Notamacropus eugenii: one gene and its partner. The protein of the gene in region 2 purifies or fractionates together with the protein of the main gene of each other region. This does not show direct contact. Links are inferred from orthologs where the notes say so. Each region holds a gene or a part of one and is shown on either strand. Other genes may lie near its edges. The genes, in order: HARS1 and G6PD.

Region 1 (10,410 bases), on a different chromosome or scaffold from region 2:
CAAAATCCTGCATAAAAAGTGACAGGAAGGAGCCCTGAGTCAAGAGGACCAATTTCCAGCCCCCAAATCTCCAGAGCCTCCAGACCCCCACAGGCAATGTCCTTTCCCTCATATGCAAGACTACAGACCTTACTGATCCCTTTCACTGCCCTTCCAAACCTGGAAGATGACACAGTCATGAAACTCTTACGACTATGCTATTTTACTCTATTTCCTATTCATCTCCATCATCTCTTTTGGTGAAATCTCCCTGCACGTGCTTTTCCTTTAGCCATTTATTCACTTTTTCCCTGCTCAGACTAGAGCTTTAATTAATTCTGATGTGCATACAGCTGGTTTTCACATCTTCATTTTTAGCTCCTCATCATATATTGTCATCCTGACGTATCTAGACACAGGTATCATGTCTATATATGCTGCTCAGGAAAGTGAACACTTAACTAAATTCTAACTGATCTCAGTGAGGACTCAATGCCCTGAGCTTTCTTAGCTCTGGGACACTCACACACTGGTAGAACTCCCGGTAACGGCCACGAGTCATTGCAGGATTATCTCGACGGTACACCTTTGCAATGTGGTAGCGTTTAATGTTGGTCAGTTTATTCATTGCCAGGTATCGAGCAAAAGGAACCTGTTGATGGGTTAAGGAGAAAGTTCCTCTTGTTCAGAGATAATTACTACCACCAGCTTGAGTTTGTCCTTCATTATCAAAGAAGACCATGACATCAAGATGATGACATGACTTGCAGTTGACTTTGATTCCAGTGTGGGAGGGCTGTGCAAGGTCACCAGCCTCACTTTTCCTCTGGAGCTAACTGGGTCCAGTGGCCTGATATTCAACAGGGCAACTGGAGATGGCCTAGGATGAAATGTGAGACCCTGACCCTTTCACATCTTACTTTGAGTGAGATACACCCATTCAATGAATAGGCTTCTTTAAGTTGCTCAAGGGATGGCCCCCTTTAATAAAAAAAAAAAATCAAACTGGGAGGGGACTTGTTGTGCAGTCTATGAACTCCAGAATGAATTGTGTTTAAGGCTTGCTGTTTGAGCAAAAAATGTAGCCAGTAAACCCAGAGGCAAAAAGGCAGCTTTGGCCACAGAGTTTACTTTCCTCTGGGCAGAACACAGAGGAGAGGAGAGCAGAGGAGCTGCTACTCACTCAAGGTTTGTGTTTGTCCTTCGTTCTCGAAGAGTACCATGTCATCAAGATGATGACATAATAAAAAAAAAATCAAACTGGGAGGGGAAGACCCTCAGGATTCCTAAGAAAAAGAGTAACAATTACAATTACACCAGAAGAAGCTATCTGAAAACAAAGTGGCCACACTCTCCCCAGGCTCCTTGTGCAATTGGATTACCCTAGCAAGAGTTATCGGAACCTTGGAATACTCAAAGGGACGACACCTGACACTGCAGAAATACTAATATGGAAGAAACCCTGCACTATGCTTAGTGCCCACCGGACCCATATTATGACTGCTTTTCTGGAACAATTAAAACAGAACATCATTCTTTACTGAAGATCTACTCAATGGTCTAAACAGTCTTCAAGACAGGCAAAGAATGGTTTTCCAGAATCAGGCAATTTATAATGGATTCAGATGTGAGCCCTGGCACTATATTAAGTTCTTGAATGGTCTTCCTAGGGGTGGGCCCAGCTAATTAGAATTTGCATCTCTGTTTTAGAGAGGGACTTCATCTAACTCGTTCTCCAACTGATTCTTTGGATCACTTATTCAAGAATTTCTTCTTATCCATGTCCAATGTTCTCTGAATCTGAGGATTCCATCACCTCCTGTCAATTAAAGTCCAGTCTAAACGACAGCATCCTAGAGCTCACTTTGAAAGGATACGGTGAGGTCATAACGAAGAGCCAACAGCTCACCACCCTGATCTTTTAGGTCATAGATGAGCTTAGAGTCCTCCCCATACTTTCCAGTTAGTGTTTCCTGGAAGGAAAAGATGAAAATATATGATTATTTCATTGGCTGTGCCTAACCCTGGATAAAGATGCCTAATTGCATATCCCTAATAACATAAGAGGTGCAAACAATCAACTGCCCTGTAGGGTGTTCTGTTGGAGGACTTCAAGAATATTTATGGTTGCAACTACCCCCCAATAAAAACATCAATCCAAAACAGGAACCACAGCCACAGAAATCAATGTGGGAAAATTATGTTGGTTCCTACTTTTAAACATCAATCAAGTTCCTGTACATCAGGAATAGGGCTGGGCTTGTCTACACCCATCTTAATAGTTGATCCCTCATGACTATATCCCATTGGTATCTAATCGACTTGTGTATCTGCTCTACATTCCTCCCCATCTCTTTGCCAAACGCTTCTCCCTTGGCCTTGGCCCTCACCTTCAATTCAAACACAGGGGTATCTATTACTTCGGCACCATGGCGCTTGAAGCAGCTGATGATCACATCAAAAACCTTCTCTCGAACAGCCATCTGCTTAGGGCTGTAATCCCTGGTGCCCTAGTAGTCAAAATAATCAAAGGAGAAAAAAAGCAAGCAAACAAGCAACTCAGTAATAAGAAAGCGGGAGGAGTTGGTATTTCAGAAGTATTCCATTTATAATCTCAATTATAATGGAACAGAATTGCATTTAATTTCCTTTTAACCACCAAGCCAAATCTGCATGGACTGAAGGGGGTTAGGTAGGATAGCTATCATCTAAATAAAAGAAGGCTTTTAACTTCTGGCATTAGAGTTGTGCTTGGAGAGGGATATTTGGTTGGTTGATTTTTAAGTTAACTGTCTTAATATAAAAAATTTTTTAAAATTGATTAACTATGGAATCCCTAAAGATAATCTACATTTTATTTCTATAACAACTAATTGGGAAGTGTGGGGAAAAAAAAAGCAGATATTTCAACAGACAAGAGTTGCTGCTGTTCTTAAGAATCTGCAGTAGTGTTATTTCTCCCAAAGGTTGAGATGACTAAAATCCTGCCTATCTTGACAAAAACAGAACGCACAGGTACAACTCAATTCCAGCTGAATGCCCAAAAGTGTCTGTTTTCCGAAACACGCTAAACACTTCTTCCTCCCAAGAGAAAGCCATGTTTTTAAGTCTGTAGTGGCACCGTGACTAGACCTCTCCTCTTGAACTTATTTAATTTTCTTTTGGGGCTTCTGTCACTAAATTTTTGAAGGTAGGGTCTAATTGAAGGTAGGGTCTAAATATTGCCACCTTTGTATCTTCGGTATCTATTAGTGTCTTGAACTTGTTAAAGTGAACTGACCACACACTCATGTGTGTGTGTATGTGAGAGATGTTGGTCTTCTCTAGTGGGAGCCGAGAGGGAGAAAGAAAGGATTTGGAACTCAAAATATAACCAAGAAAAAAACACAATATATAAAAATAAACCGAACTGACAATGCAGTGAGGCTCATCAAACACCCTCGGAAAGGCTTCTCTAAAAACACATTTACCTTTGGAGTTTTAAGCACAAACTTCTGTTTCCCTTCATCAGGGCCCAGCTCTGCCTTCAACTTCAGGAGCTTGGAAACCTCCTCCTCGATCTGCGAAGGAAAGGCCTCAATAAACACGGGAGTTTGGAAGGATGTGGTCCCTAGCCGGGGCCCTCCTCCAGGCCTCTGACTCAGAGCAAGCTGTGAGACCGTAGGCCAGTCACTTTCCCTCCATACCTCCGTTTCCTCATCTATACAATGGGATTCAAAGCACCGGCAGTCTCCCAGGCGCTGTGACGCTAAAGCCAAAGAAAGAACGTGGAGCTCCTCAAAGGATCGGAACGAGGCCGGCGGGGGAGTCGCCTTCTGGACCCGAGTCTCGTCCCTGTCAAGGCCCTCGCCCAGCCCCTTTCCTCCTTCCATACCGGACCCCTGAGCCAGAGCTCCGTCCACCCCGGGCCCCGATCCGGCCCTCTCGGGGCCCTCACCAGCTCGGCGCCCGCCTTCTGCTGCTTGAGATTCCGCACTCTCTCGCCCTGGAGCCTCACAGCCTCCTCCAGCGCCGCTCGATCCGCCATCCTTGCAACGGCCGCGGCTGTCACTGACTGCGGCCCCAGAGCTCCGCCGGCGAACCGCGCCCAGAGGCAGCTTCCGGCCGGCGGGCGCCTGAACCGGAAGAGCGGAAGTCTGGAGGCCAGAGCGGCCCATCCCCTACCCTTTCCCACGAGACGCTCCGCTCTGGCAGCCTGCCTGCCCCTTGGCGGGTTTGATGCATGGGAACATCCGGCACCCTTTGCCTCAGTTTCCCCCTCCCTAACCTGGTGACCAGCCCGTTCTCACTCCCTGGACCCAGCCCAAGCGCCTTCTCTGCCCCAGTCCTCCCTCCCCCTTCCCCCCGTGTCCAGCCCTCTGCGGGTGTGCACGAACCCCAGAACCGCAGGAAGAGAAGCCCCCTCCCCGGGCCATGCAGCGCCTCGGACCCTGGTCTCGGGAGGCCTGGGCCGCACTGGCCCTCCAGTTGCTGCGACCTCCCCGCGCCCCCTGCGCCGGGGCCACGCTGCTTTTCCGCCGGGTGCAAGGAGGCTTGGGGCAGCCTCCAGCGCGGGAGGTACGTTCTGCCTTCCCCCCTTTCTCTCTGGGCGCTCCTTGGCTTCTCTACTGTCCCAGCTTATCGGTCGATATGGCCCCAGTTTGGGTTGGAAGGGAAGAACCGTCGGGGTCCCCGGCAGGCTCGCCAGCTGTTCCCGGCCTGATTCTACCCCTGTGTGGTTGAGCCCGCTCAAAGCAAGGACTCCAGCTTCTGAATGTGTACCCTACCTTATGAGTAGATTTAAAAACGCTTGATTTATTTTAAAGACCTTAGTTTCCTCTTCGGTAAAGCGAAGGTTTAAACTAAGTGGGCCCTCAGCGGCAGAGGGGTTGGTTGGGCAGAACTGCCTTTGGATCTGGAGCAAACGAACCGCGGTGCTTCGCCCCCTAGTGTTTGTGACGGAGCCCCACAGTCTGCGATGTCAATTTATCCCTTTATTTCAATACGTTTTGTTCAGACTCATGGTACAGAGAGCCTCGGGACTGTCAGCGGAATCATCCGTGGGAATCTTTGAAATCCTCACTTGAATGAAGACTTCACGCAAGTCTTGTTTGTCATATTATGGAGGGGATCCCTGTTTAGGTACAGGTTGAGATAATTGGCTTCTGAGGCCCTTTCTAGTACCGAATGAACACATACTAAATTCAAAACACTGGGCTAAGCACTGAGAATACAAATAGAAAAGCTGTGCAGTCCCTGTTCTCAAAAAGCTCACCCTCTAGTAGAGGAAACCACATATACAGAATGTTTTCATTGCAAATCAGATAGAAAGGTCCCATGGTCCTTGTGATGAAGGGCCAAAGCAGGTAATAATGGTTTCTTTGGAGATTTTATGGTCCTAAAATTTAGAAAGCTTAACCTCTCTAAATTTCTGTTTTCTCATTTTAAAAATAGGGATAATACTTGCACACTCCTTACTTTACAGGTGTCTGGAAAACACATTGCAGACGTTAAAGAATTATAGAAAAGTGAATTATTACTGTAATCATTGTTAGAGATGAATACATTGCTGCCCTGAGAAATTAAATGATTTAAATTAAATGATCAATCACCCAGTTATTAAATAGGACTATCTTGAGGTACCACTCTGTGTTTTCTCAGGTTTCCAAAAAGTCTTATTGTATAGCCTGCTATAATCTAGTATTTTTTCATTCAATTGCATTTTTTTACACATAGAGCCAAAAAAAATGATAGGGTTCCTTCCCTTGAAGAATTTACAGTCTAATATTGTGATGCAGAGAAAATTATGTTGAATTTGGATTCAGAGGACTTGAGTTTAAATCTGAATTGTCACTAATTCCTTGTATGACCTTGGGTAAGCTAAGTAAAACTTTCTAGAATTCAGTTTCCTTATCTGTATTTAAAATGAGTTAGATGGTCTTTAAGGTCCCTTCCAGCACCAAATCTTTCATCCTTTTCTTTGAGGGGGGTGGGGAGATGGAAGGGAATAAGCCTTTATATAGCACCTCCTATGTGCTAGGTAGGCACTATTCTAAACACTTTTTTACAAATATCTCATTTGATTCCCAGCATCCCTGAGAGGTAGGTGCTGTTATTATTCCTATCTTACATTTGAGGAAGCTGAGGCAAATAGATTGTGACTTTCCTAGGATGACACACAGCTAGTAAGTGCCTGAGTCCAGATTTGAACTCAAGTCTTATAGACTGTAAGCCCAGTGTTCTAGCCACTGGGCCACCAGCTGCCTCAGTAGAGGAGTTAATAATCTAAAGCTAACAAATAAAAATCTAATAAATTATTCTTGTATCATAATCTGGTTTATTTTTGTATCTTTATTTTAAAGCAACTTTCTGTAAGAACCCATCTAGATCCAAAGGGCCATAGCCCTTTTGTAGGGAGTCACCTTTCTGATCTGCCATTTTTATTACTATATTTTGAATGTAGAATTAGAGTCTTTTTAGGTTCTGGTCTTGCCATAAATTTATTTTTTTTGTAAGTTCTTGTTTGTTTCTGGGTCTTAAGTTTCCTTGGGTGTCAGTTAGCAAAAAGTCTTGAGTAGAATTGACTAGCTGAGTTTGACTGAATGAGAGTAAATCATGCTGTATGGTGGGATGGAGATATCAATACAATGAGAGCCACTGGGAAAAAGATCTGACTTCATTCAAAATCCTTTATGAACACAATTCGGGCACAAGTGTGGAGCCTGTAGGACTTTCTTCTTGTAACTGGAAGACTAGAAATTCTGGGGGTCAGAGATAAGTATCTCTTGCTTAGCGTGCCATAATCATTTCCTTTCAGTTTGCAGAGGCCAGGTTGAAGATTCAGTCGGAAATAGATAAAGAGAAATCCAATTTTGTTATCAAGACTCCCAAGGTAATCCTCTTCTCTCATCCTTTTTGGTCTCCTTTTCCAGTATCCTGGGTGCTTGGGAAGAGCAGTCTGCCCTTACCTGAGGTGGGACCTTGCAGTGAATTAGCGTATCATATGGTGGATAGATTGCACTTGGAGTCAGAAAGAGCTGGGTTGAATCCTACGTCAGTCATTTACTAACTATGTAACTTTTCTCAGGATACTTCACTTCTCAGTTTCTTCATTTGTAAAATGGGGATGATAGCAGTACTTACCTCATAGGGTTATTGTGAGAAGAGAGTGTGTAAAGTGCATTACAAACCTTAAAAGTGCTTTAAAAGTATAAACCATTGTTGTAAGGTCTATTCATCCTTCCCTGTTTCCTGCAGGGAAATTTCCTACAAATTTGTACAATTTGTTTTTAAACTTTTCACCTTCTTCCCTTTATTCTGGTTGCTTTTGGCTCATAGGGTACCAGAGATCTTAGCCCTCAACAGATGGCTATTCGAGAGAAAATCCTTAATGCTATCATCAGCTGCTTCAAGCGCCATGGAGCTAAAGGGCTAGACACTCCAGCATTTGAACTAAAGGTGACAGAAAGAAAAAGCGGGGGAGGGAGGAGTAGTATTGAAATTCTTCCTTTCTTAGCCTCCAGTATCCCAAACCATATTTTTTAAGCTATAGATTTGTGTTTGTCCAGGAAGTGCTAACAGAGAAGTATGGAGAGGACTCCAGACTCATCTATGACCTGAAGGATCAGGGTGGGGAGCTCCTGGCTCTTCGATATGACCTCACAGTATCCTTCTAAGAACTGTTTTACTTTATCCCAGACTGTCCTTTCCCAAGTCAAGGGAGGGAATTGTAGATGTCATAGTCATATCTGGAGCTCTGATTTCTGTTTTATGTTAGATGGCTCAAGGAAGCATGTCCACAGTAAAGTAAGGACTGAAGGTAATGGTGAAAATCAGGCTTTCAAACTTAAATAATCTGGGAGAATTAAGGATTGAGGTGCATAGGAAGGAAGGATCCCAGGGGTCTTAAACCACTTAGATCCTTGTTTCCCTTTCCCTGAATTTTCAGTTTGACAAGATGATGTTGGAATCTACTGCAGAGATAGGAATTTCTCTAGTATCTGATTTGTGTAGATGCAGTTGGTTACCAGTTCTGGAAGGGAGAGTGCTTTTTCCTTAATCATTTCTTGTGAGGTCCCTTTTGCTCGTTACTTGGCCATGAATAAGATAAAGAAGATGAAACGCTATCACATTGGGAAGGTGTGGCGACGGGAGAGTCCCTCCATAACCCAAGGTCGATACCGGGAGTTCTGCCAATGTGTGAGTGACTGGGTCAGTGGACAGTGAGGAGGGAGTTCTCTGAGCAATGCCACTGGTAACCCAGGTTTAATTAGAGGATTTTCAAATTTTCACTGTTTGCTTTTGCTACAGGATTTTGACATTGCAGGTCATTTTGATCCCATGATCCCTGATGCAGAGTGTTTAAAGATCATACATGAAATCCTAAATGCATTGCAGTTGGGGGACTTCTTAATTAAGGTGAATGTGAAAACAAAAGAGGAGGGGGGTGTTCATGACCTGAGATTATTTCCTTTAGGTTCTCCTCTTTTCTTCATGATGGTCCCAACTTTATCCCTTGGCTTTAGCAGCTGTTTCTGCTATAGTCTGATTGCAGGGCTTCCCTTCTCCTTTTACTAAAGGGAATCACTGGGAAAGAAGAATGGATGGATCTCTCTTTTGAGAATAGGTGTTGATGGAGTATCTGGTGCATATGGGATTCACAGGTGAATGACAGGCGAATTCTGGATGGGATGTTGGCTGCCTGTGGTGTCCCTGATAACAAATTCCGATTTATCTCTGCTTTGGTGGATAAGCTGGGCAAGGTAACAAAGGAATATCTTTTCATTTTCCCTCATCTAAGATTTTGTGGCTTACGTCTTTCTGGGCCGTTGTGTTTCAGAAACTTAAAGAACAGTGTAAAGTAAACTATCTTATTTACTTAAAGAAAGTTATTGTAAAGAGATATTGTAAAGAGAAAGTTTAACTAAATCGTGACCTGGTTTCAGTCCTTAATTGAAGTTTACCTCTTCACCTAATAATAGTTCACTTTAACACAGAAATGTAAGGTTTTCAAAGTGCTTTCCTTGCAACAATCCTATGAGGAATCCATTAAAATTATCATTATCCTTACTTTGCAGTTTAGGGAATAAGCAGTTTAAGCGACTTGCTGTGGGGCACATAACTAGTAATTGTTGAAAACAAAATTCCAACTTAGTTCTTTCCTGAACTGTAGGTTTTTGCTGTATCTGTTACGCTGTCCTGACTCTTGTCAGATTTTAGGCACATGGTAGGCATTCAAATGTCTACTGATTGAATTATAATGCCTCTTGTTACAAAAGAAAGCAGGGTCTTGGATATGAGCTAATATTTCTCTATCTGCAGATGTCCTGGAAGGACGTGAGACAAGAGATTGTAGGAAAAATGGCTTTGGCCCCTGAAGTGGCAGATAGCATTGGGGTTTACATCCAGCAGCATGGTAAGAAGCAGGTTCCCCAAGAATTAGATGTATATATGATAGGGACTAGATCTGCTGCATATCTAACATTGAGCCCACTTTTCTAGAGAGAGACAGATCCCTCAGGAAAAAGCTGGTCTTGAACTTATTTCAGCTTTTCCTGTCTTTTTTGCTTCTTTAGAAGGAAGAAAACAGAAGCAGAGGAATAACAGCACCATAGTTTGGATTTTTTTGGAAAGTTCGTGATTAGAGTAAAAAGGACACTGAACTTGAAATTAGGAAAGACCTCAATTAGAATCTTGCCTTTGATGCATATGGTTTTGTGATTTAACCTTTCTGAGTCTCTCCTTATTTATGCAATGGAGTTAATAATCTCTGTACTGCTTACCTCACAGGTTGATATGAAGAATAAATAACATATGTAAAGCAGTTTGAATGCTAGCTATTTTTATTGTTTTATTCATCTTGTTTTTTTGGTTGTGTAGACTTGTTTGGATGAATTCTAAAGATCCTGTTTCCCCTGTCTATCTGACTTTTATGTTTGACTTTCTCAGGTGGAGTGTCCCTAGTAGAGCAGCTACTGCAGGATCCTAAACTCTCACAGAACAAGCAGGCCTTGGAGGGATTGAGAGACGTGAAACTGCTATTTGAGTATCTGGCCCTATTTGGCATAACAGAGAAGGTGAGTAGGGGAAGGGCAGGCCCCAGCAGATTGTAGAGGATCACAGAACAAGTCTCACCTTTGAGACTGACCATATCTCCATGTCCCCACAGATCTCCTTTGACCTGAGCCTGGCCCGAGGCCTGGACTACTATACAGGGGTGATCTATGAAGCAGTGCTTCTTCAGACTCCAGCCCAACAAGGGGAGGAAGCACTTGGTGTGGGCAGTGTGGCTGCTGGAGGGCGCTATGATGGGCTTGTTGGCATGTTTGACCCCAAGGGCCGCAAGGTGCCATGTGTGGGGCTCAGCATTGGGGTTGAAAGGATCTTCTCCATTGTGGAACACAGGATGGAGGTAGGACCCTGCTAGGAATAAGTGGAGAAGTCCCTAACACA
Region 2 (10,202 bases):
CAGGCCCCCCTGTGTATGTTGGGGTGCTTGCTGATACACCACTGTGTCACCTAACTGCCCACATAGACTTCTTCAGAGGATGACAAATCTAAGTTAACGTCTTAAAGTTGACAATAATGGCGGCTGAATGTCCATGACCTTTCTGGCCTAGAATGCAGGCCCCTACCCCCAGCTACTGAGCCCCATGGAGCTCTGCTTTACTGAAGTATATCCACTTTCTGTTTTCTCCCTCTCTCTAGCAGCCTTTATCCTCACTTGTAATTTTCTGGGTCTAATCACTGATGTCGACTGGGAAAGCAGATCACCCAGCTTATTAATCAAAGTGTTTTTAAAACAAGATTTAGTAAGGATGTCACCAATCCCTGCCTCAGCTACCCTGCAGAACCAGGGACTGCTACCTTACTTTCTAGTTTTTGCTTAGGGATTGATAACCAGAGATGCTGGAACAAAAAGGAGGGACAAGGCAGCCACAGAGAGGGATTCTGGGATTCTGAGCCTGAGGCTGATCAGGGCACTCTCAGCTCCTTCCTATCATCCATTTGAGTTCCATCCTTCCTATGTCTGTCTCTAGTCTCCTTTTTCCTCCCCTTCCATAGTGTCCCCCGGAGCCCTCCTTCAATCATATTAGCCCTAGGCACACCTTCTCAATAATGAACTCCTTGTAGATATTTTCTGTTGAATTCTTTATCTCCGTGGTGTTCCCTCTGCTCACACAGAATCTGACCTTCTGGAATACAAGGACTTTCCAGCCAGTTCTCGATTAAGGTAAGTAGACTGATCTACAGACCACCCATGGCTCTGTGGGTCCTGCCACTGCTGCCAGCCCAGGAGTTGAACTGGTGTAACTGGTTTTACTGTAAAGTGAGAACTATCTTTTGGGGGCTCTTTATCCTAGTGCTTAGTGAATGATGCTTGACATTGAAAAAGCCCTTCCCAATCCCCAAGAAGCCCCTTATCAGCCCAGGTTGCCCTCTCTACCCTGATTTTGAGGGGAAAAACAAAAGGCTCTAGCCTGGGAAGCTAGAAACCTGCCTAACACTTGCCAGCCTCATTAGACATTTTTCTCCTTAACTCTAGTTGAGTCAAAGTGGCTGTCTTCCTGCTCCACTCTGCATCTTTCCATCCATGCCTTTGGATTCCCCAAGCCTTCTCTGCCTCTTAGAATCTCTCTACTTCCTTGAAGCCTCAGCCTAAACACCATCTTCTCCATGGAGACTTTCCTGGTCCCTACAACTGTTAGGATCCCCCCTTCATCTCTATACTTTCTTATATTCATTTGGTGTACACACACACACACACACACACACACACACACACACACACACACACACACACACAGAGTCTTCTCGGACCTAAATTCCCTGGAAGCAGGGACTGGTTCTCTCTTGCCCTTATATCCCCTATATGTCTGACATCCTATAGACTCTTAATAACTGCTTGGAGGACTGAAGCACTCCTGGGAGTGGAAAGTTGTGGGCATGGACTTGGAGAGATTTTGGGGGCTACACGGAGTACTTTCAATGGATTCCTTTGGGACCACAGAGGTTCCCATTGAAATAATATTATTTTACTTATATGAAATGGGTCAATAGATAGCAAGACCTTGGACTGACAAAGGTTGGGAAACAGTGACTTACAGGAACAGAGGTACTTGAAACCAAGAAGGGCATGGTGAAAGCCAGGGAAAGAGAAGGAAAGGCTTCTCTTTACTCTTGCCCTCTTCTGCCAACTCATTCCACTCTCTGCACACTCCATAAGCTACTAATGGCCCTCAGGAAGCACCACTTTGTCATTTCAGAGTGCAAAATCCCCAATGCCCTGGCCCGGCTGGAGGGACCCAGCATTGGTGAGGAAGGATTAGGGTTGGAAAGGGCTGAGTTTGAATTCCACCTCAGGCCTTTACCTTGGGGATCAGAGCTCTCAATCAGAAATGCCAGCATGGTTAGGAGGCCCATAGAAGCACTGAGAAAGGTAGAAAAGTGTTTGGCAAACCTTGTAGCACTCTGGAAATGCCAACGAGCATTACCAAACTTGAAGAACAAATGATCCTAGAGCAGGTCTGGGGTGATAAGTGCAAGTTTAAGCCCAAACCCTGAATTCTAAATGAAACTTGGTGAAGAGGACACTGGGGAACAGGGGCTTCTAACCCCTGGTACAGGGGTGGGGCTTTCCTTCCAAGTCTCCAATCAGTTAATTTAGAAGAGTATTCCTTTCAGCACCCCAGAAACAAACCAACAACCAACCCAAACCATGATGACATTCCTTTGAAGGACTTCAAACACCCCTGGGGTCACAGGGCTCAGTCAGAGGGAAATAGTGGGGTATTTAGTAACCCTTAAGGGGCCCCAAAAAAGCCCCTTATCAGTCTATTCAAACCAGGCCTGGAGAAGACTGAGCCAGGTTAGATGAAGAAATTACAAAGATAAGCAAGATAACCACTCAGTTGATAAGCAAGAATGACCCACGACCTTTCCGACACCATTTGCCCTCAAGAAAGTCTCACCAGCCTTAGGGAGTAGCCTTCCCTCCTTCCCCTATTACCAGCCTCTCCACAAGTTGTCCTCTACACCCTGATTTTGAGGGGAAAAACAAAAAGCTCTAGCCTGGGAAGCTGGAAACCTGCCTAACACTAACTTGCTCTTGACATCAGGGGGTAAAAAAATCACGTTAGTAATTTGGGTTTTATTTTCCTCATCTATAAAATGAGGGTGATAATCACTGCCCTGACGCCAGGACAAGAAATCAGGAGAAACAAGATAGTATGAAAATAATCTTCAACAGAGGGCCCAAAGAACAGAACAGAAGGAACTGGGCCTTTGGAGATACTGGGAGACCGAGGACTTATGCTGAGCAGAAGCTGTGAGGTGAGTGCGCAGGTAGGAACAGAGAATCTGGAGCCAGAAGTGGGGTGAGTCCCAGCTCCTTCATACTACAAACGAGGAAAGTTGAGGCCCAGAGTGACTCACCGAGGCTCCCATGATGATGAATATGTGTGTGTCTGACTGGTGGAAGGCATCACCCTGGTACAATTCTTCCCGGAGAATTCCACACACTTGGGTCCGGCTCAGTGCCACCTGCTCTGCCATGTTGTTTTCTAGAGGAATGAAAGGATTGTGAGGGAGCTCTGGCAAAGAGAGAGTTGGAAGGTCATTGCCCCTCCCCCTAAGAGGGACAAGTGAACTCCCCAGGCAGCCCAGATTTCAAGTGGTATCTCCAAGAAGCAATTACCAGTTCAGAGTTTAGGAGAAGGGATAAAAAACGTTAGGTTTCTGATGCCTTGAGGGTATCTGAGGAGGCTTCCAGCAGTCACATTTTGTACCTGTTAAGCCCATTTTAAATATCCTACGTTTGGTCAGGATACTCAATGGCTAAGTCTGGGGATCAAAGTGGTGTTCCCCCCCCCCCCCTTCTTTCCAAAGTGGATGTCTGGAGGATGAGTTCAAGCTGGAGCCTCTCATCTGGGATTCTAGTTCAAGGTGTTCATAGCTTGAGGGGCAGGATCACAGGTGGGGGTTAATGTCGACTAGAAAATCAGGACCTAAGCAGGAACATTATTAATTCACTGATCTTCCTTCTGCTTTGAAGATAATGGGTCCCAGTCTCAGGCAGAATGCTAATTAGCTCCTTTATCCTCTTGCTTTGAAGATGATAGGGGTGGGGGTGGGGGTGGGGGTGGTAGGGAGTAGGGGGCGGGGTGGGGGAGGGGCCTAGTTCTGACTCAGTCACTGTCTGTGACCCTGGACAAGTTTATTTCTCTTGGAGTCCAAAGTTGCTTCCCTTTTAAGGGAGCTAGACTGACTGATCTGTACATTTCCATCCAGCTTGTATATTTTTTGCCATATGACCAGTATAACCAAGCACAAAATATTATTTCTTCTTGGCCTTTTCTGATGTCTCTCCTATTTCTAAAACTGGCCTGTCCCAGTCCTCACAGTCACTACTTTGGAAAATCCTCAGGATGCAACATTATCTGGCATCTGCATCAGCAAGGCACTGGACTGTGGAAGAAGACTGTTGCAGGTGCGTGGTTGTTTTGTTTTTAAAAAGAAGTCTCAAGGGAGAACCTAGAGCAAAAAGACAACCTTCTCCGCAAGGGGTTATGCCACTACCACCAGGGTCCAAATCCAGCTAACTGCAGTTCAGCCAGACCCCTGCCACAGGTTCGATTGTTGCTACCTGTTGGGGCTTGTTTCAACTTCCCTAGGACCTCAGTGGGATCTGATCTCCCTCAGCGGATGGTTCCGAAGGGTTAGAGGTTCTCCCTGATAGGTAGGTAGGAGAAGCAGAGTATTTCCAGTAGTCAGTTTGATCACATGCCTAAGCTAAAACCCCTTAGGGGATATAGAGGAAACTTTCCTTTAGATCTAGGCCCCCAGAGACAATCTACAAGGGGCAAGAAAGCCAGGCCAGGGCTGAGATGGGAAAGAGTACAGTATCTTATCTGAACAGGAAGGTCATCAATCAATGCAGAAACAGCCTTCTGACCAGGGTTCGGAGGAAGGAGATGAGGGAGGATGCTTGGGTAAAGAGGATCAAAGAGCCTGGAGACTAAGTCGAAGGAGGGAACTGCAGAGGCTTAAGAGAAAGGCTATTAGGATGGAGAGCTCAGGACAGAGGCCAGGATGCAGGGCGGGGCTGAGGATGGAGGAGGTTGGGGTTGGGCAGGCCGGGGGCCTCCTCACCAGTCTTCGCCTCCGGATCCTGGGTCACTTGCTGATCCGGCAGAGGAAGGGAGACGACCGGGCCCGCTGCTGCGCTCGGGTTAATGCCTCGTCTGCCCGAGTGCAGTTCGGCTACACTCGCCCGACTCCCCATCTCCTCCCCCTGGCCCAGCCCCGTTGGCCCCTGACTCCGCCCCGGCCCTCCCTGCTCCCCCGGCTTTGGCTCCGATCCAGACCTGGGATTCCGCACCTCGCGCTTCAGGCGCAGGAGAGCCCGCCTCCTCAGCGACATCTCTCTCTCCCACCCCCACGTGGCCTCGCCCGGCTCGCCGCTTCCGCCTGCGACGTGGCCACGCCCCCCGAGCCGGCCATGGGCCCGCCCTTCTCAGATCACGCTCCCTGTTCTTCTCGCCAAGCCGAGGTCTCCCATCTCTAGCCGGAAGCCCCGCCCCTTTGCTTATTTTCCCCCCCCCCCCCCCCCCCTCAAGAACTCCGCCCCTCGTTCCTCTCACTCCTCCTAGTTTTCTGATACCGGCCTGGAGTGGGGAGGGGAACTGATAAAGTGCATAGTCAGGGGCACTTAAGGTGACAGAAGAGATCGTTCCGAAACTAGGAGGAGGAAGCAGATGCTCTAGAAGATAGCTTAGTGCCTAGGATTTCTTTCTAGACCTAAGTGGGCCCTGGCACGGGAAACACAGGGTAAATTTCCCCCCACCCCCGCCAAAGGCGTTATTGGTTCAGTCCTCGCTCCCTGGAGGTCGGAGACAGCCAGAGGAAGGGGCGGAGACAGTCTGAGGGACTCCGAAGCTTTCACTTTTGCACTTCCGGGTTGCCGCAGCCCTCCGGCACAATCCGGAAGTGGGTGTTGGGTGGGGAGGAGTCGCTGAGGAGTCCGGGCTTCGGAGCCGTCGGCTGGGACCCGAGCTGGCGGATTCTTGGGGGGGGCCTCCGTCGCTACCTTCGGTGTAGTTTTCGCGGCTGCGTCCGTGGCGTGTGGACTCAGGCTCGGCCCGGCCGGGCCTGGCGGCTCCCCGGGCCCCGGTGGGGCCGAAGCTGAAGCCTGAAGGCCCGAGTCTCCGGCCTCCGGGGTGAGTCGGACGCCCAGGCCCCGCCCCTTGGGCCCCGCCCCCGCCCATGGCGGCCCCGCCCCTTAGCCCCTTCCCGCCGCCTGTCCCTTCACTCTGCTCTGCCATGTTCAGCCTCTCCTGCCTCATCTGGGCCACCGCTGCCGTCCGAGGTTTTGGGGTTGGCCTCAGGGTAACTGACTCCCCATTGGCCCAATTTCTCTCCCCTTCCCCCCGTCGCCGCCGCCCCCGCCCAGTCATTCTTCGTAATTCTGGGAGAGGGGAGAATGTGAAGGAAAAGAGCAGGTTTTTTTTTGCCACCATCTTTCTAGACTTCTGATGGGATTCCCACTTAACGGTGTGAGTCCGGGCAAGTTCCTGAACCTCTGATGTTTCATCTGTAAAATGGGTATGACAATAATGGACGCTACCTCCTAAGTTTGTTTTGGGGATCAGATGCCACAACTTGTGGAAAACTATGTAATTGTGAGCTCATTAATGGTGATAATAACGGGATAAGGCTGTGGCACTAAGGGGGCACCCTTCTCTGGAGTCATCGAAGTGGCACTGCCATGCCATTGGACTTGGAGGGTCTGGAAAACCCGAGTTCAAGTATCGCCTTAGACACTGGCTAGTGTGTGACTCAGGCAAGTCACTTAACCTCCGTTTGCCGTAGTTTCTTCATCTGTCAAATGAGAATAATAGCACTTATCTCCTGGAGTTGTTGTGAAGATCAAACGGGATAATAATTGTAAAGGTGACTGACACATAGTAAGCACTATGTCAATTTTAGTTAGCTGCTAACTTTCCACTTCATCTTTTCAGACCAATGCAGGGTTAGAGCTGGAAAGGACCTTGCCCACTAGATCATAAGGTCCTTGAAGGCAGAAGACTGTCTTTTGCCTCTTTGTATCCTCAGGTTAGCATGGTTCCTGGCTCATTGGTATTCATTTATGTTCTGTTCTTTTTGGCCAGGATACCGGAATGGTTTGCCATTTCCTTCTCCAGTGGATTAAGACAAAAGTGACTTGCCTCTGTTTCCTCTTCTGTAAAATGAGCTGGAAAAGGAAATAGCAACCACTCCAGTATCTTTGCCAAGAAAACCCCAAGTAGGATCATGGAGAGTGGGACATGACTGAAAAACTACTGAACAACAACAGCTTCTTGGCTCCAGACCTAGCGCTCTATGCACTGAGCCACCTAGCTACTTCCACATACTCTGTATAGCTTGGCCCATAGTAGGTGATTAATAAATGTTTATTGATTAATTGATTGAAAATGATATAATTTGTAGTATAATTTAGGGATGCTTTGGACTCAATCTGCCTAAGTTTGCTCACAGAATTTCACAGTTGGAAGGAGCCTCAGGAGCCACCTAGTTCTGCCCCTGTCCAGTAGAAATCCTGTCTAATATAGCTGGTCATCCAACCTCAGCTTGAAGATCTCCAGTAAGGGGAAACCCACCATTTGGGACACTTAACACAGGACCAAGCACATAGGCATTTCATAAAGAAATACTTGTTAACTTCCTGGGGTAGCTCCAGCCATTAGGAAATTTTTCCTGACACTGAGCTTGCTTCTGCACTCTGGGACCAAATAGCCCCCATAGAATTTCTCTTCCTGAGCTCAGCTATCTTCCTTGCCCCTCAGGCTTTTTTCCTTGGGCTAAGCATTCCTAGTTCTTTCAGCCTGTGATGATATGATATGATGGGGAAACTCTAGGCCTTTTGCCATCCTGGTTGCTTTCCTTCTTAACAATGCTGTCCTTAAATAGGTACGCCAAATGCAATACTCCTTGTAGTGATTTGTACTTTTCATGCACATGCTGTCTTGTATCTAAGTCATTGGTAATAATAATCGCAGCTAACATTTTTAAAGTTTGCAAAGCACTTTAATACATATTATCTGATTTGATCCACACTACGATCCTTGGAGGCAGGTGCTGTTATTTCTATTTTACTATTGAGAAAACTGAGAGGTTGGAAAAGTGACATGCCTGGGATCACCCAGCTAAGGAATCCTCATAGAATTCCAACTCAGGTCTTTCTTTGCTCCAGATCCAGGTCTTTATGCCCTGCGCCACCTAGAGGCCTAAAATTCTGTTTAACAGCATAGACCAAACATGGTTCTGGCCCACTCTACTGCTGATAGCCTGCCAAGTTGGCATCAGATTCACTGAACTGAGTCTAGCTGTTGAACCAGTTCTAAATCTTTCTTCTTGTATTGTCATTTAATTCATGTAGCTCTGTCTTTTCCACAAGAATAGCAGGAGATACGTCTTAAAACTCTTTATTAAAACCTAGGTAAACTATGTAGTATCCTCCCAATCAGTCTCATAACTGTCAAAAAAAAGCCTTGATGCTGACTTTTGGTAGCCCCCCTTCCCCATGCAACATGTAGATGTTCACTAAGCCTCTCTTTAGCGATGTGGGAGAATTTCCCTGAGGATGGGAGTCAAGTTCACTGGTATGTGTTTTTGCATGTTTTGTTCTCTTACCTTTTTGGAAAATTGAGGCATTTGCCTTATTTCAACTATACAGTGCTTCTCCTCTTTTCTCTGCTCTTTTGTTTGTCCACATCTGCCTGTTTTTATGATTGATGTGGACCAGGTGATGACTTCATTGGGGGTAACTAGGTACGCTCCCTTTGACTTCCTAGTAACTCATTTTGTCACCATTATTTTCCGAGAGAACAGGAGCAAAGAATCTGGCAGCTCTGCCTTCTCCTCTTCTTTGCAGAGGCAGGGTAGGGCAGCAGCAGCGGCTCAGAGGGGGGAAAAAACCACACATTTACATTATCTATGTTTCATTGTATTTTTATTTATTTTGTTAAACACGTCCCAATTACATGTAAATCTGTTTTCCTGCTGGGAGTGGGAGTGTTGCAGGACCTACTGGGTTTGATGCCTCTGGTCTTCACTCCAAGCATGGGTCTTGAGTTTCCTCTGATAGAGCTAAAAAGGCCTTTTTGTCACCCCTTGTTTTCCTGATCAACCTGACTATGAGATTTGGCCATTGAGAGATTATTGGATTTTTGGAAAGAGCAGTTTCAATTGAGTTGATGTCACAAGCAGATGGCAAAGGATTGAGAAGTGGAAGCAGAGGCATAGTTTGGACATCGCTCAAGCAGAGACAGGAAAGGGTGTCATAGAGGTAGGACTCTGGACTGCATGCCCACAAGGCAGCCTCCTGGCTCTGTAGTCAGTGCCGGGTTAACTATGGCCTCTCTGAACACCACTAGCTGTGCAACCTGAAGCCAGTCATTTGACTTTTCTGGGCCTCTTGTCCAAAATGAGAGGGACTTAGACTTGATGGCTTCTGAGGTCACTTCCAGCTCCAGATGAAGGATGCCTTGACCCTCTGGGGTTACAGGATTCAGTTTTTGTACTATCTCATAGTCCCCACAGTCTTTTTGAGCTCTGGCTTAATCATTTGCAGAGAATTTAATAAACAAATACATATTCTTATGAAACACATAAAATATGGGGATGATGATTCATTACCAGAGGATTGCGTCCTTTAGAAAAGGATTTTCCACTGGGTTCTTTTTAATCATTAGCTCCTTAAGTGCATTTCCCATTTGATTTGTGCCCAGCTCCGAGGCCCCCCCCCATGTGTCTTTATTTATTTATCTTTAGTTTTCACGATTCACTCCCATAAGATTTTGAGTTCCTAATTTCTCCCCATCTCTCCCCTCCCCCGCAGATGGCATGCAGTCTGATACAGACTCTACATATACATTCATATTAAATATGTTTTCACATTAGTGTAACAGCAAGGACCCTGATATACACAGGAAGGCCTGCTGTACAGGTTCTTAGATCTGCTTTTCTGAAAGGAAAGCAACTTTTGAGGGGTCAGGAATCACTTTAATCAAGCACATATAACATTCACTTAGTGCAGGGGAAAAAGCACCCTGAACTTCAGAGAAAATACACATAGAGAAATAAAGTCATTTTGAGGTGTCTTAGATCCTTGCATTGCTAAGAAGAGATAGGTCTGTCAAAGTTGATCATCGTACGGTATTGCTGTATATTATACAGGGTATAATCTTCTGGTTTTGCTCACTTCACTCAGCATCAGCTCATGTAAGTCTTCAGGAACCTGTCTTATAGAATATCAGGTATACATAGAATTATAGTTACAGGATTTCTGTGTTGGAAAGAACCTTAGAAGTGATCTGATTCAGCCTCCCATCTTGAAATAGCTCCCATTTATATAGGGCTTTAAGATTTGCAAAGGGTTTTTTCACAACGATCCTATGGTGCAGGTATTCTAGTGATCATTATCCTTATTTACAGATAAGGAAACTAAGACTCTAGAGTTAGCATCGTGCCTAGGGGTGTCACACAGTTTATAGTGGGATTCAAAACCAGACTTTTGACTTCAGGCTTACCCTTTTCAGTAGGTTATAGTGCCTTTCAAAAATGCATGTGCAGGATAGCCTAGACAGGTGACTTGAGAGCTCACTGTGTTAG

The links.
Region 1: the proteins of G6PD (region 2) and HARS1 fractionate together in Homo sapiens (co-fractionation; 3 studies listed by BioGRID). This does not show direct contact. The link is inferred for Notamacropus eugenii from reciprocal best matches to the Homo sapiens genes G6PD and HARS1.

What each region holds. Positions count from the first base shown.
Region 1 is NC_092872.1:368,090,472-368,100,881, forward strand, and holds the start of HARS1 (histidine--tRNA ligase, cytoplasmic), read right to left. Parts: upstream 4,102-10,410; 5' UTR 4,007-4,101; coding exon of another isoform or gene 3,917-4,006; 5' UTR 3,852-3,916; coding exon 3,666-3,851; intron 3,540-3,665; coding exon 3,450-3,539; intron 2,490-3,449; coding exon 2,370-2,489; intron 1,953-2,369; coding exon 1,857-1,952; intron 632-1,856; coding exon 506-631; intron 8-505; coding exon 1-7. Other genes in the region: histidine--tRNA ligase, mitochondrial-like, read left to right, coding at 4,393-4,536, 6,776-6,850, 7,297-7,416, 7,527-7,622, 8,032-8,157, 8,269-8,376, 8,622-8,720, 9,280-9,373 and 2 more. UniProt on the Homo sapiens protein: Catalyzes the ATP-dependent ligation of histidine to the 3'-end of its cognate tRNA, via the formation of an aminoacyl-adenylate intermediate (His-AMP). Plays a role in axon guidance.
Region 2 is NC_092879.1:10,232,045-10,242,246, forward strand, and holds the start of G6PD (glucose-6-phosphate 1-dehydrogenase), read right to left. Parts: upstream 4,966-10,202; 5' UTR 4,954-4,965; coding exon 4,683-4,953; intron 3,095-4,682; coding exon 2,967-3,094; intron 1-2,966. UniProt on the Homo sapiens protein: Catalyzes the rate-limiting step of the oxidative pentose-phosphate pathway, which represents a route for the dissimilation of carbohydrates besides glycolysis.